2 linked regions of the Anolis sagrei genome follow. The protein of the gene in region 1 purifies or fractionates together with the protein of each later gene. This does not show direct contact. Links are inferred from orthologs where the notes say so. Each region holds a gene or a part of one and is shown on either strand. Other genes may lie near its edges.

What was found. Proteins that work in one complex are often made in the same cells at the same time.
Region 2: the proteins of TMEM43 (region 1) and BZW2 purify together in Homo sapiens (affinity purification with mass spectrometry; 3 studies listed by BioGRID and IntAct, counting the BioPlex papers as one, with this or other methods). This does not show direct contact. The link is inferred for Anolis sagrei from reciprocal best matches to the Homo sapiens genes TMEM43 and BZW2.

What each region holds. Positions count from the first base shown.
Region 1 is NC_090022.1:52,196,407-52,203,919, forward strand, and holds the start of TMEM43 (transmembrane protein 43), read right to left. Parts: upstream 3,165-7,513; 5' UTR 3,099-3,164; intron 1-3,098. Other genes in the region: CHCHD4 (mitochondrial intermembrane space import and assembly protein 40), read left to right, coding at 3,489-3,510. UniProt on the Homo sapiens protein: May have an important role in maintaining nuclear envelope structure by organizing protein complexes at the inner nuclear membrane. Required for retaining emerin at the inner nuclear membrane.
Region 2 is NC_090026.1:96,119,123-96,127,352, reverse strand, and holds the start of BZW2 (eIF5-mimic protein 1), read left to right. Parts: upstream 1-5,157; 5' UTR 5,158-5,343; intron 5,344-8,230. Other genes in the region: ANKMY2 (ankyrin repeat and MYND domain-containing protein 2), read right to left, coding at 4,758-4,824. UniProt on the Homo sapiens protein: Translation initiation regulator which represses non-AUG initiated translation and repeat-associated non-AUG (RAN) initiated translation by acting as a competitive inhibitor of eukaryotic translation initiation factor 5 (EIF5) function.

The DNA of each region.
Region 1 (7,513 bases):
GCATATGTGGAGCAAAGCAAACCACAGACCACTTACTACAATGCAGTCTGAGCTCCACCACAAGCATAGTGGAGGACCTTCTTACAGCAACAACAGAGGAACTCCAAGTTGCCAGTTTCTGGTCAAAGGACATTTAGTATAATGCCAAGTTTTACCTTTGTGGTTTTTTTATACATTATAACTGTATTCTCAATTCGTTTCTGATGCAATAAATAAATTATTTCCAGGAAAGTACATCTACACTGTGTATAGTGTACTTTCTACACTGGATGATGAGTGCAGTTTGATCCCATGGCTCAATGCTAGGGAAGCATGGGAGTTGTAGTTTTACAAGGTCTTTCACCCTCCCAAAGAGTGCTGGTATATACCCCAACTACTATTCTCATGATTCCATCACCCTGAGCCATGGCAATCAAAGTGGTGCCAAACTGAATTAATTCTACAGTACAGGTGCCCTACTGTCCTGCAAACCGGTATGTACAGTGTTGCTCCTATCTTCTTTTAAGTTGCTTCTCGCCAGCACAGCTGTCCTCTTAAGAAAGGGCGTCTGTGAATTGTTTCAGGCTGAGATCACTTGCAGGGCTCAACAAGCACTTTCTGCTTTTCTTCGCTTGCAAGTGTTAAGGCACACTTTACCTCGCTACAGTGTACATCCAGTCCATAAATGGCACTCTCTCAGTTCTGGCACCCATCAATCAATAATGCTCCATTTGAGTTGTTAGAATGAATGGAAGGCAGCTCTGATAAGAACGTTCTGTCACTTTTAGTAGTTTGATGTATCAGAAATCTTCCATTTTTGTCTTTTACTTGAATAGAGGAAAACTCCCTATTACTTTTACTTTCCCATGATTCCATTGCACTGAGCTATGGCACTTAAAGTTGGATCAAACTGCATTAATTCTATCGACAGCAGTGTTTCTCAACCTTCCTAATACCTCCAACCACAAAATTATTTTTGTTGCTACTACATAATTGTAATTTTGCTACTGTTATGAATCGTAATATAAATATCTGATATACAGGATGTATTTTCATTCACTGGACCAAATCTAGCACACATAGCCAATACACTCAAATTTGAATGCTGGTGAGGTTTTTTTTGGGGGGGGGGGGGTTTGGCGGGGGGGGGGGAAGGGGATTGATTTTGGGTTGTTGTAGGTTTTTTCGGGCTATATGGCCATGGCCTAGAGGCATTCTCTCCTGACATTTCGCCTGCATCTATGGCAAGCATCCTCAGAAGTAGTGAGGTCTGTTGGAACTAGGAACCATGAAAATGAACACAATCTGGCTACCAGTATTAAAAAACTCTAAAATTACAACAGCACAACAACAGAGAGGAAACAAACAAGGACATCTAATCACCTCTCAACAAAAGTTTGCTCTAGGCACTGCCAGGCAATCAAATGCTAATCAAGGTGATCAGTTTAAACATTCACACCTGGCTCTAGCAGACAAGAGTCCTTTGTCTCACCCTGGTCATTCCACAGATATATAAACCCTTTTTTCCCTCCTTTCTGTTGAAATTGTCCACATGCTTGTGTATTTCAATGGCTTCTCCGTGTAGTCTGACATGGTGGTTGTGAGAGTGGTCCAGCATTTCTTTTGTCATTTTGATTTTGTCATTTGGGAGTTGTAGTTGATGGGATTTATAGTTCACCTACAATCAAAGAGCATTCTGAACTCTCCCAATGATGGAATTGAACCAAACTTGGCACACACGACCAATAGAAAATACTGGATGGGTTGGTGGGCAGTGACCCTGAGTTTTGGAGTTGTAGTTCACCTACATTCAGAGCACTAAGGACTCAAACAATGAAGGATCTAGACTCAACTTGGTGCAGATACTTAATAAAAAATGTGAAAAATGGTGGGGTTTGGGGAAAATAGACCTTGACATTTGGGAGTTGTAGTTGCTGGGATTTATAGTTCACCTACAATCAAAGAGCATTCTGAACTCCACCATGGATGGAATTGAACCAAACTCAGCACACAGAATTCCCATGACAAACAGAAAATACTGGAAGGGTTTGGTGGGCATTGACCTTGAGTTTTGGAGTTGTAGTTCACTTACATGCAGAGAGCACTGAGGACTCAAACAATAATGGATCTGAACCAAACTTGACACAAATACTCAATATGCCCAAATGTGAACATTGGTGGAGTTTGGGGAAGATAGACATTTGGCAGATGTAGTTGCTGGGATTTATAGTTCACCTACAATCAAAGAGCATTCTGAACCCTACCAATGATAGAATTGGGCCAAACTTCCCACACAAAGCCCCCATGACCAACAGAAAGTTTTTTGATGGTCTTTTGTGACCCCTCTGACACCCCCTCGTGACCCCCAGGTGGAGAAACGCTAATCTACAGACTTTGGACCTAGGGCAGGCTATTAGGAATTGTGGGAGTTGGAGTCCAAAACACTTGGAAGGCCAAAGTTTGCCCATGCCTGGTCTAGATGCACTGCTAAATTCATAAAATCATAGAATCAAAGAATTGGAACAGACCTCATGGGCCATCCAGTCCAACCCCCTGCCAACAAGCAGGAATATTGCATTCAAAGCACCCCTGACAGATGGCCATCCAGCCTCTGTTTAAAAGCTTCCAAAGAAGGAGCCTCCACCACACTCCGGGGCAGAGAGTTCCACTGGTGAACGGCTCTCACAGTCAGGAAGTTCTTCCTCATGTCCAGATGGAATCTCCTCTCTTGTAGTTTGAAGCCATTGTTCCACGTCCTAGTCTCCAAGGAGGCAGAAAACAAGCTTGCTCCCTCCTCCCTGTGGCTTCCTCTCACATATTTATACATGGCTATCATGTCTCCTCTCATCCTTCTCTTCTTCAGGCTAAACATGCCCAGCTCCTTAAGCCGCTCCTCATAGGGCTTGTTCTCCAGACCCTTGATCATTTTAGTCGCCCTCCTCTGGACACATTCCAGCTTGTCAATATCTCTCTTGAATTGAGGTGCCCAGAATTGGACACAGTATTCCAGGTGTGTGAAATGCAAGTGAAACTTTAATTTCACAAAACTTTTAGTACTTTCCCCACTCAAAACAAACCCTATTTAAGTAGAGAAGGAATAAGAAGGAATCCATACTCACTTTTCTCCAGTCTTGCTTTAAACACCGAGAGAACACACTCCAACTAGTCGCCAAGCAAAGCCACGCCCACCGCCCTGCACAAGGCCCCGCCCCTTTTCAAGAACACATGCGCGCGGTTTCGAAGCATGCCGGGAGTTGTAGTCTTCCAAAACAGGACGCACGTCGTTTGACGCACAGCATGGCGGGGAGGGTCATTGCGTGAAGGTCGCGAAGCATGCCGGGAGGCGCAAGGCCGTAAGGGAGTAACGGCTTCTCGGCGTGGTTTAGTGTCGTGGTTGCCGCCTCCCTCCCGCACCGTTTTTCCCCTCTTCTTCTTCAAGGAGGCTTTCGAGGCGGAGAGAGAGAGAGAGAAAGAGAGAGCCCTTCTTTGGCCGGGCTTTCCTGAGGGCCATGTCCTACTGCAGGCAAGAAGGTACCCGGGGATCTCTGGCAGGAGGGGAGGGGAGGAAGGAGGCAGAGCAGGCCTCGGGCCCCAAGCGAAGGACCCAAGGCGAAGGGCTCCTGGGAGTTGTAGCTTTACAAGGTCTTCAGCCTTCTCTGTCAAAGGAAAAGGATTCTTCGCAAATCCAGAGGTTAAAATGGGGTCAAAGTGCATTATTTCTACAGTGCAGATGCACCAAGGTGACCCAGGTCTCACCTGCACTGGACCTACAATCCAGTTTCTGAAAACAGATTATCTGATTTTAAACTAGATTACAGGAAGTCCCCAAATTACGAGCAAGATAGGTTATGTAAATTTGTTCTTATTATAATAATGTAATACAATATAGTAATAATACAGTAGAATATATAATAACATTGTAATATAATAAGGCTAAGATATTATATCTGATACTACTGATAATATATAACAATATATAATGATATACTCTATTATTATTTTATATTTTAGTTTGTAGTGTTTTTGATTGGGAGCTGATTTGAGTGTCTGCTTTGAGAGATAAAGCAAGATATAAATAAAATAAGTCAGATCATTTTTTCAGTATAGTTCCAGATAGATAGATACACACACACACCAGGTTTAGATAATATAGGGAAGGGTGAACACCCCTGTGGTGTTGTTTTGCTGTCTGTGCCGCTGTTCAAAAGATTTCATCCTGTGATAATTGGATTTTGAAAACTGCATTAATTCTACAGCAGGGGTCCTCAAACTTTTTAAACAGAGGGCCAGGTCATAGTCTCTCAAACTGTTGGAGGGCCAGATTATAATTTGAAAAAAGGATAATGAATTTCTATGCACACAGCACATATCTTATTTGTAGTGCAAAAAACACTTAAAAACAATACAATAATTAAAATGAAGAACAATTTTAACAAATATAAACTTATTAGTATTTCAATGGGAAGTGTGGGCCTGCTTTTGGCTGATGAGATAGGATTATTGTTGTTGTATGCTTTCAAGTCATTTCAGACTTTGGTTGACCCTGAGCGAGGACCGGGTAAATGACCTTGGAGGGCTGCATCCGGCCCTCGGGCCTTAGTTTGAGGACCCCTGTTCTACACTGTAGATTCGTTCTCAGTTAAGAAGGACAATAGACTAGATGTTGTGTAAAGAGTAACTCTGGTATCAAAAGGCTAGTAATCATAAGCAGTTTGTGGACCAACGACTTAGAAGTGGGAAGGCCCATCTAGTCCAATCCTCTGCTGTATAGGAACACATAGCTAAAACAGTCTTTCTAAGACAAGCATGGGCAAACTTGGGTCCTCCAGGTGTTTTGGACTTCAGCTCCCACAATTCCTAACAGCTGGTAGGCTATTAGGAATTATGGGAGTTGAAGTACAAAACACCTTGCTGGATGAAGTTTGCCCATGCCTGTTCTAAGGGATAGCCATCTTGTATGAACTTCACATGTTTAAGTTAATTTTTCACAAAAGACAAAATTCAACGTGAAAGGAATAGATATAGCACTTACTTTGCATCTTTGTTGAGGTTTTATCTAGGTTTTTTCCTTGTTCTTGCTTGGGAGAGAACCCTGTGAGGTCAACCAGGTGAGATTCAAGGTCATTCATTGGGAGTCATGTGGCTGAACCTCTGCCATATTGAGATATTCTTGAGAAAGGGTATGGGTTTGAAATTTTCCTCCTAACTTACTCTTCAATATTTCTGGATAGGTAGAGTATTAAAAGCTTGTTTTCTACTGCTCAGAAAACACAGAGCAATGGATTCAAATTACAGGAAAAGAGATTCTAACTAAAATTAGGAAGAACTTCCTGACAGTAAGACGGATTTGCCAGTGAAATACGCTTCCCTGGAGCATGGCTGAGGCTCCTCCTTTGTAGGTTTTTAAACAAGCTGAATGACCACCTATTGGAAGTACTTTGATTATGCATTGCTGCATGGCAGAAAGGGATTGGGCTAAATGACTCTTGGGTCTTTTTCAACTTTGATTCTAAAAGGTTGCATTCCCAAGAAACATGGAAGCCTATCTACATCTTTTCTTTCCAAGGGCAGGAGACACGCTACAGTGCATATTACAGTCTTCTGTTTGAAAGGTACTTTGGAGGTGGTAGGGCTCAAAATGTATACCATATATACTTGAGTATAAGCCGACCCAAATATAAGCTGAGACACCTAATTTTACCACAAAAAAACTTGGAAAACGTATTGACTCGAGTCTAAGCCAAGGGTGAGAAATGCAGCAGCTACTGGTAAATTTCAAAATAAAAATAGATACCAATGTCCTCAATTACATTAATTGAGGCATTACTAGGTTAAATGTTTTTGAATATTTACATAAAACTGTTATTTAAGATAAGACTGCCCAACCCTGATTAAATCATTATTCTAACCTTCAATGTAAATGTGCTTACATATTCTTCCAATAGTAATAGAGTAAAATAATAAATGTAATAAAAATAATAATAGAGTAAAATAATGTAAATGTAATAATAATAAAAATAGAGTAAAATAATAAATGTAATAAAAATAATAATTACAGAGTAAAATGATAAATAACTTTGACTCAAATATAGGCTGAGGAAGGCTTTTTCATCCTAAAAAAAGAGCTGAAAACTCAGCATATACTTGAGTATATACAGTATATCAAGGTTGCTTAGGCTACACTAACATCACCTTGGAACATGTGTGGCAACGAGCAACTCTATGGCAGCATTCAGCTCCCAAGGCTGTTCCTGTCAGTCTGAACCTATGGTATATTTCTGTATGGAAAGCAGACACTGACATAAGGGAAATCTTTTGGCCTAGTTGCTGATAAGGCAGGTCAGGAAGCTTTGAGATAGCTTTTTGGATTGCTAAAATTGGATCTGTGAGGCAGCTTCACTTTCCCAATCCTTGTTCCCATGGAAGGGATAGTTTGACATTTTTTGTACCATAAGTTATTCTGTAGGTGAAAACAAGTGGAAATCAAAACATAGGATATATTTGATACCTTTAAATCAAGCATCACTCTTGATCATTTTATTCTGAGGACTAATGATGGCTTAACATTGGGATTTTGCATATTTTATTTCCCCATTATGTTTATGAAGTTGATTAAACAGAAGGCCGTTTCACTACCTGGCAGCATTATCTAACACATTCTTGCTCCTTGACATAGATTTATTGCTGAGTGAGTAGTAGGCCTTGTATGTATTTTATGTTCTCATTTTTATGATCGTATTTAGTTCTTGGTGTTGATTTTAGAAGTTGTTCTTTTCCTCATTCTTAGTGTGAAGGCTCATTGAGTTTTCTCTTTACATTTCTTTCAATTTTCCCTTTCCTTGCACATAGAACGGAGTGAATGATGACACTGACTAGCAACTGCTGTCAAGTTGTGTAAGGATCACATGGTAACATCCAACAGAAGCATAAATTACAGCGTTTGATTTAATAGGGTACAGTTGAGGACATAGTCTAATGAAAAGCTAAATGAACACAAAGTAATTGCTGTAGGATAATAATAAAATCATAGGCATTTAGTAAAGCAGTTTAAATAAAAGTAATACGTGGATTTAAGGCTAAATAAAAGTTGTTTATTTACTTTTAAAGATATTATTATATTTATTGATTGCCTAGAGATACGCTTTGGCAAGCGGTATACAAAAAGTTGTGGCTTTGATTTTTACCTGGCAATTTTGGTACCTTGAAAAGTAAGAAATCAGCTTGTGTCATATATTTCATGGATTATAACAGGGGTGAGAGTCATGCCGACTTCCCGATGCTGGACTAAAACTCCAGCATTCCTCACAATTGACTGTGCTGGCTAAGGCTGCTGGGACTTACAGTTCAGCAGTATCTGGAAGGCAACATGATTCCTATCCCTGGATTATTTATTTATTTATTTCATTTATATACCGCTTTTCTCAGCCCTTGGGCGATTATAGGCTCTAAAACTATGGAAGATTAGTCTATAGTGTATTTGTGATAGATCTTTAAGGTGCTACAAGTTTCTCTTTCATTTTTTCTTCTGAAGCAG
Region 2 (8,230 bases), on another chromosome or scaffold:
TTAAGTTCAAAGATACTTTAAGCACTATGCCATTTCTAAGCCTTCAATAGAAACCTTTAATAAAGACAATTAAATATAGTCATGGTGACTTGTTGTTAGAGATTAAGAAATTTGTTCCAGTCTGCAGATTAGAGTAGGCAAAGCACAGGACTCAATGCTCTAATGGCTTGACTCAATATAAGGCAGGACCCTGTGTCAACTTGAAGGGCGCCTGTAGAACAACGGTGTTCCTACATCTAGATGCTAATCTCTCCATTGTGTATAAAACAAAACTAAAGCTGTAACTCTCAAATGGCACATTAATGAGTTAATTTAGAAAACATGCACTACCCCATGAACCAATATATTGAATGGCTTTTGAAAAAAGAGTTTAAGATTCATGGTTTATTACAGAAATTGCAGTGCTGATTTCTGACTCATAGTAAGTTTAAAAGACATTTTTGCTGGTTAATATTCCTCCTCAATGCATGGAAGTAATATGGAAGTAATTAGCCTGCATTATTTTTGCTACCAGACTTATTACTTGTTAAACAGAGCTGGTGTGGAGACACCAACTAGGGATGAACAACTGGATGAAGCTAGACTCTGTTTAAGATATGTAATGGTTCTGTGTTAACATGATCTAAATACAAACGAGAAATCTTGTGAAAAGTGAACCAGATTGTAGTTTCCTTGTATACATATTAAAGAATGTAGACACACTCACATGAACTGTATTTGAACACTTATAGAGTGGTAACTCCAGGAGAACTGTGCTTTTTACTGGGTGATTGTAACTAATATGTATTGATTAAAATTATTAGTTTCTTGGCTTTGTCCATACGCTTACAAGCAATGCCTAAATGTGTTGCTTGTAAAAATATTGATGTAATAGCCGTTTCCTAATTAGAATAAAGTTTTGACTTACTGTGCCAATTAAGCTGAGTATGTGGCTGATCTCTTAAAAGACCACTACTATCTTCTGCAGCAGAAAAATGAATTCATTTTATTTATTTTATAGACTACCTTTTGCCTAAGAAATTGGCTACATTAGTAGCACATGCAAAATTGATACCAAATCAGTTGATAGCACATGAAAAAAATATGTACTGATTTTTTAAAAATGACAAATAAAGTAGAAACGCCTTAAAAGTTTGTGGATTCTGTTTTGAGCATGCAATAGAGCAGATTATCACATAACAGCTCTCATGATATCAACAAGCTGCATTATGCACATAATGGATTTTACAATATATATACAACATATGCAATTTCACACACACGTGCGTGTAGTGATTTATGCTACGATTTTGTTGCTTTCTTTATTCCCGATCTCTGTGTAGTAATCTGCCTAGAATGGTGAAACTTTGTCACCACCAGTCTATTCATAAAGGAAGGCAAATTCTGAATTCAAAACGAGACTGCAATGCCTCTTTGTTTCCAATATGCTTTTAAAAAGATAAAACCGTGAACCGCAACAAGGTTGCAAAGGAGGAACGCTGTTTAGGTTCTGCTACTGACAAGGCCTGTGCAATATGACAGTAAACAAAACATTGGGTTTTCACATTGGCAATCCAGCTCAACTTGTGTGACTTGCACTGAACCTTTCCCTAAAAGAGGAATGAAAAACTGCCCAGGGATTGGGTTAGACAGTTGCAGCCAATCCAGGGGCTGCATAAATTGCTGCCGAAGACAGAAAAAGAGATACAGACACAAGAGTAAGTATTTATGGTGTGGAATAGTACAGGGAAGCATTGCTATTGATTTAAAAGGTGAATTGCTATTTGGCACAACTCACTTTCATTGGCTGGAAAACAGAAAGATGCTTGGAGGGATCAAAGGCCACAAAAAGAGGCTTGGCAAGGCACTATCAAACAGCTATCCTCAAACTCCAGCCATCCAGCTGTTTGGGACTTCAACTCTCAGAATTCATGACCATTGAACAAGTTAACTGGGCTTCTGGAAGATGGAAATCCAAATTGTAGGATGGCTGGAGTTTCAAGATGCCTGCTGTAAAACAAATGCGGCTCAACATCACTTCACTTGCCATGGCTCAGTGCTATGGAATCCTGAGAGTTGTAGTTTGGTAAAGGACCAGCACTCTTGAACAGAGAAAGCTCAAGACATTGTAAAATGATAATACACAGGATTCCTTTGAAGTGAGCCATTTCTTTGCATTGAGCCGAGCAGTGTCAAACTGCACCAATTCTACAGTGTAGATCAGTGGTTCTCAATCTGTGTTTTGGCCTTCAACTCCAAGAAATCCTAATAGCTGGTAAACTGGCTGGGATTTCTGGGAGTTGTAGACCAAAACACCTGGGGCCTCGCAGATTGAGAACAACTGGTGTAGAAGTACTCTTAAGGCTGGTTCTGCATGGATGACTCAATGCTATTGGATCCTGGCTAAGGGATCCAGCCATGGCTCCATGCTATGGGATCCTAGGATGTGCAGCTTGATGAGGTCCCAGCACTCTTGGGCAGAGAGGGCTTAAAACGTTGTAAAAGTCTTGCTGCCAGGATCTTGTTGATTGGGCTTGGCCCCATATAAGCTGCCTTGAGTCCCTTTGGGGAGATGGGAGTGGGGCATAAAATAAAGTTATTATTATTATTATTATTATTATTATTATTATTATTTGAAACACAACAAGATGAGTCCACAGCAGACACTCTGCTGGCTGTTGACACTTCCTAAGTGTCTAGGACTGTGTGATGTATCAACGAATAATGCATGCAGATCCCAGCAAGGTGGCCTTCTGCAGCTGGCAGATGGTAATTTTGTCAGTGTGATTGTGTTTAAGTGCAGACCAAGGTCTTTAGGCACTGCACCCAGTGAGCCGATCACCACTGGGACCACCTTGATTGGCTTATGCCAGAGTCTTTGCAGTTTGATTTTTAAATCCTCATATCATGTCAGCTTTTCCAGTTGTTTCTCTTCAATCCTGCTGTCACCTGGCATTGCAACATCAACAATCCATACTTTGTTTTTTAACATGAATGTGATTATTATTATTATTATTATTATTATTATTATTATTATTATTTGAAACACAACAAGATGAGTCCACAGCAGACAAGATCACTCTGCTGGCTGTTGTATTGGGTCTATGTTGGACAACATATTGTCGAAGGCTTTCATGGCTGGAATCACTGGGTTGTTGTAGGTTTTTTGGGCTATATGGCCATGTTCTAGAGGCATTCTCTCCTGACATTTCCCCTGCATCTATGGCAAGAATCCTCAGAGATAGTGAGGTCTGTGGACAAGTCTACATAGGGACCACCAAATGCAGCGCCCAAACACGAATCAAGGAACATGAAAGGCACTGCAGACTACTTCAACCAGAGAAGTCAGCCATAGTAGAGCACCTGATGAACCAACCTGGACACAGAATATTATTTGAGAACACAGAAATGCTGGACCACTCCAACAACCACCATGTCAGACTACACAGAGAAGCCATTGAAACCCACAAGCACGTGGACAATTTCAAAAGAAAGGAGGAAACCATGAAAATGAACAAAATCTGGCTACCAGTATTAAAAAAACTCTAAAATTAAAACAGCAAAACAACAGAAGGGAAACAATCTGGGACATCTAATCACCTCTCAACAAAAGATTGCTCCAGGCACTAACAAGCCACACCAAACAACAGCCAGGCCATTAAATGCTAATCAAGGTGGTCAGTTGAAACATTCACACCTAGCTCCAGCAGACAAGAGTCCTTTTTCCCACCCTGGTCATTCCACAGATATATAAACCCCTTTTCCTAGTTCCAACAGACCTCACTACCTCTGAGGATGCTTGCCATAGATGCAGGCAAAACGTCAGGAAAGAATGCCTCTAGAACATGGCCATATAGTCTGAAAAAACCTACAACAACCCACATGTTGGACACTTCCCAAGTGTCTAGGGCTGTGTGATGTATCGGCAAATAATGAGTGCTGATCCCATTAAGATGGCCTTCTGCAGCTGGCAGATAGTAATCTTGTCAGTGCTGATTGTGTTTAAGTGCAGGCCAAGGTCTTTAGGCACTACACCCAATGTGTTGATCACCACTGGGACCACCTTGGCTGGCTTGTGCAAGAGTCTTTACATTATTATTATTGTCGTTATTGTTGTTATTGTTGTTATTATTGTTGTTGTTGTTGTTACCACTGAGCTAGTGTTTCTCAATCTCTGGTGAAGTCCAAAACAAGACTTCAACTCAGTTCTTGTGGGTTTTTTCGGGCTATATGGCCATGTTCTCTAGAGGCATTTCTCCTGACGTTTCACCTGTATCTGTGGCAAGCATCCTCAGAGGTAAGGTCTGCATCTATGGCAAGCATCCTCAGAGGTGACCTCACCTCTGAGGATGCTTGCCATAGATGCAGGCGAAACGTCAGGAGAAATGCCTCTAGAACATGGCCATATAGCCCGAAAAAACCCACAAGAACTGAGTGATTCCAGCCATGAAAGCCTTCGACAATACAAGACTTCAACTCCCAGAATCCTTTGCCATTGGCCATGACAGCTGAGGCTCCTGGGAGTCGAAGTTCCACATAGCTAGAGGGTCAGAGTTTGAGAATCACTGGGTCTCCTTTTCCTGCAGGAACAGCGACTGCCTGTTTTTCTTCCTGGGCGCAAAAGAGAGAGCCTATGGCTTAATGGCTCGCCAAGGAAGACCTGGTTTCTTCTTCTGGACGTTCCCAGGCCCGCCTTGTTTATTGTGAAGCTCCCTCAAGGCTTGGCTGTCCCTTGAACTCCCTCCGACACAGCCAGAGGCACGTTGCGCACGCCTTACCTTTCCCAATGACTTCCAGCAGCTCTTTCTCCTCCTGGCTCAAGTCGCCTTTCTTCGGGGGAGCCATGGCTGCCCTTCTCCTGATAGGAATCCCAAGATGGAGCCCTTCTTCCCTCTTTTCCTTGGCTGGATTCAGGCCTTCAAAGCCCAGCTACGGCGCGGCCACCCGAGACGGACATCTCCCCTCCCGCCGCTCTTTCCTCTCCGCCTCAAAAAACCTCTCAACCTCGCGCGGGCCGAACCACTCTCGCGCCCAAAAAAAAAAAGAGAGACGACGAGCCTAAAACACGGGTCCCTTCCCTCTTTTGAAACCCAGACCCCCCAGCAGTTGTTCCTCATTCCGTACAGGAAGGAAAAGGTGTCCCCAAAGCGAAAGAGACCCAAGTTTATATTCTTTTGTCCTCCCCCCGAAGTTGGACAGAATGGTACGTCCTGGAGGAGGAGGAGGTTGATAAGTGGCTCCGTGCGTGAGTGCGTGTGTCAATGTTGCTGCCCTTCACTTCTTCATTGTCTGCTGCTGGAAGCGTCGCTCCTTCGCCTGTTTCCCCCGTTTCTTCCTTAGAGAGAAGCCCTTTCCCCGAGAGAGGTAAGAAGGGGCCTTTTGGAGAGAAAATAGAGGAAGGAAAGAGGAGGAGGAAAAGGAAAGGGAGGAAAGGCTTGGCTGCACAAAAGAGGAGTCAAGCCGCGTGCCTTTCAAAGGGCCTCCGAAGAAGCCCCCCCCCCCCCGCTCTCTTTGCCTTGCCTGCCCATTGAGCACCTCTTGAAGCTCAAGGGTGAAGAGGAAGCATTTGGTGAACTTGGGCTTTTGTGGTTTTGTGGCTCCCAAGGTGACTCGCAAAGCCTGGCTTTGGAAGGGTTGGTGAAGGGGCAGCGGGAGCTTTCCAAAGCCGTCGGGGAGGCTCAAGGGTCAGTAGGGTTTATCTGCAAGGGATGCCCGCTAGAGCGGTTCGATCCCGCTTTAACCTCCCTCTCATGGAACCCTCTAGGTTACTGAGGTTCTCCAATGCCATCTTTTGAATGAGCCTTTCAGCTCTTGGACAGGGAAGTCTAACAGTGCATCTGTAGTTTATGGATACAGCTTAACACCGCTTTACCTGCCATGAACCCCTTTTAATATAATAATAATAATAATAATAATAATAATAATAATAATTTTTTATTCGTGCCAGGAGCAACTTGAGAAACTGCAAGTTGCTTCTGGTATGAGAGAATTGGCCGTCTGCAAGGACATTGCCCAGGGGATGCCCGGATGATTTGATGTTTTTTATCATCCTTGTGGGAGGCTTCTCTCATGTTCCCACATGAGGAGCTGGAGCTGATAGAGGGAGCTCATCCGCCTCTCCCCGGATTCGAACCTGCGACCTGTCGGTCTTCAGTCCTGCTGGCACAGGGGTTTAACCCACTGTGCCACCAGGGCTCAAAATAATAATAATAATAATAATAATAATAATAATCTTTATTTATAACCTGCCACCATCTCCCCAAACGGGACTCGGGGCGGCTAACATGAGGCCAAGCCCAAAATAATACAACATAGTTAGACACAAAATAGCAGGGAAATACATCATAACAAAATATATAAAATAACAAAATAAACAGTATAAAATGGCATATTAAAATCAAACACAAAGGGCGGGCCAGATGCATGAGATAAAATGTTAAAAGGTTTAAACCCTGGGTGAGATAGGAAAATAAAAGTGCATTTATGAGAGAGGAGCCCGAGAAGGAATCTTATATGGAATCTTATAACCTCATAACACAAGAGAATGAATCCACTTTAAATCCTGTTGCTGCCTCCTACAGATTTCTGCGATTTGTAGTTTAGAGAGGAGCCTTTAACAGGCTCACTAAACTACAAACCCCAGAATTCTGCAGGAGGCAGAAACCAGATTTAAAGTGGATTTGTTCTCTAGTGTGATGAAGTAGTTATAGGATATTGAAGCCTTTGAATTCACTGGGATGTTGTAGGTTTTTTGGACTGTCTGGCCATATTCTAGAAGCATTCTCCTGACATTTCGCCTGCATCTGTGGCAAGCATTCTTAGAGGTTGTGAGGATGCTTGCCACAGATGCTGGCCAAACGTCAGGAGAGAATGCTTCTAGAACATGGCCAGACAGCCCCAAAAAACCTACAACAACCCAGTGATTCTGGCCATGAAAGCTTTTGACAATACCTTTGAATTCAACTCTGCGGCCCCTTGCACACCACTGAATAAAATCCCACATTATCTGCTTTGAACTGGAATGTATGGCAGTGTGGACTTGGATAACCCAGTGCAACGCAGATATTGTGGGATTTTCTGCCTCGGTATTCTGGGATATGGGACTGTGTGGAAAAGCCCTGAGCTCTTCAGTCAGGAAGTCCAAGGATGCATTTACACTGTTGAGATTGAATGAAACTTGACTCTCCTTTAACTGTCATGGCTCTCTCTTGTGGAATCCTGTAGATTGCTGAGCTTCTCCACTTCTGTCCCTCAAATTAGCCTTTGAGTTTTTGGGCAGGGAAGTCTACACTGTAGACTGAATGCAGTTTGGCCCCACTATTAACTGCCATGGCTCAGTGCTGTGAAAGCATAGGAGATGTAGGGTCCTTCCACACAGCCCTATATCCCAGAATATCAAGGCAGAAAACCCCACATTATCTGAGTGTGGACTCAGGACCCTTCCATACAGCCCTGTATCCCAGAATATCAAGGCAGAAAATCCCACAATATCTGCTTTGAGCTGGGTTATCTGAGTCAGATAACCCAGCTCAAGGCGGAAAATCCCACATTTTCTGAGTGTGAACTCCGATAACCCAGTTCAAAGCTGATATTATGGGATTTTCTGCCTTGATATCCCAATATAGGGTTGTGCGGAAGGGCCCTAAATATCTCATGAAACCACATGATTCTGTAGGATGGAGATATGGTAGGGAAAATGGCATCAAACTGCTTGAATTAGACACAAGCAGAGGAGAAGGAAATGTGAAAGGTGATAGAGTAAAGATATTTTGCTGGCATGGACACTGTCAAATTAATGCAGCCCAACACAGCTTTAACTGTTATAGCTAAGTTCTGTGGTATCACAGCTGTTGTCATTTTTAGTCTTTAGCCTTCTCTCCAAAGAATGCTGATGCCTCACAAAACTACTTACCCCAGAATTCCACAACATTGAGCTATGGCAGTTAAAGTGGGGTCAGGCTGCATTAATTTAACAGTGTGGATTTGATGTGCAACTGCAGATATTCCCCCTTTGCTTCCTCTGTTGTCACTTTCGGAAAGCCCCTGGTGAAGGTGACCAAGGAGAGATTTCCTTCTTGCCTTTTTCAGTGAGAACACGGCAAACTGGAAGAAACCGGATTTGGTTCTCTTCTATTCTACAGCAGTGAGGGTGTGAGATGAGAATTGATTTGTTCTGTGGCTGTTAAACAAATCAAGGAGGAGGCTGGTGGTGTTGCTCTGCACGTAGACTCCATAGGGGTTGAGGCAACCT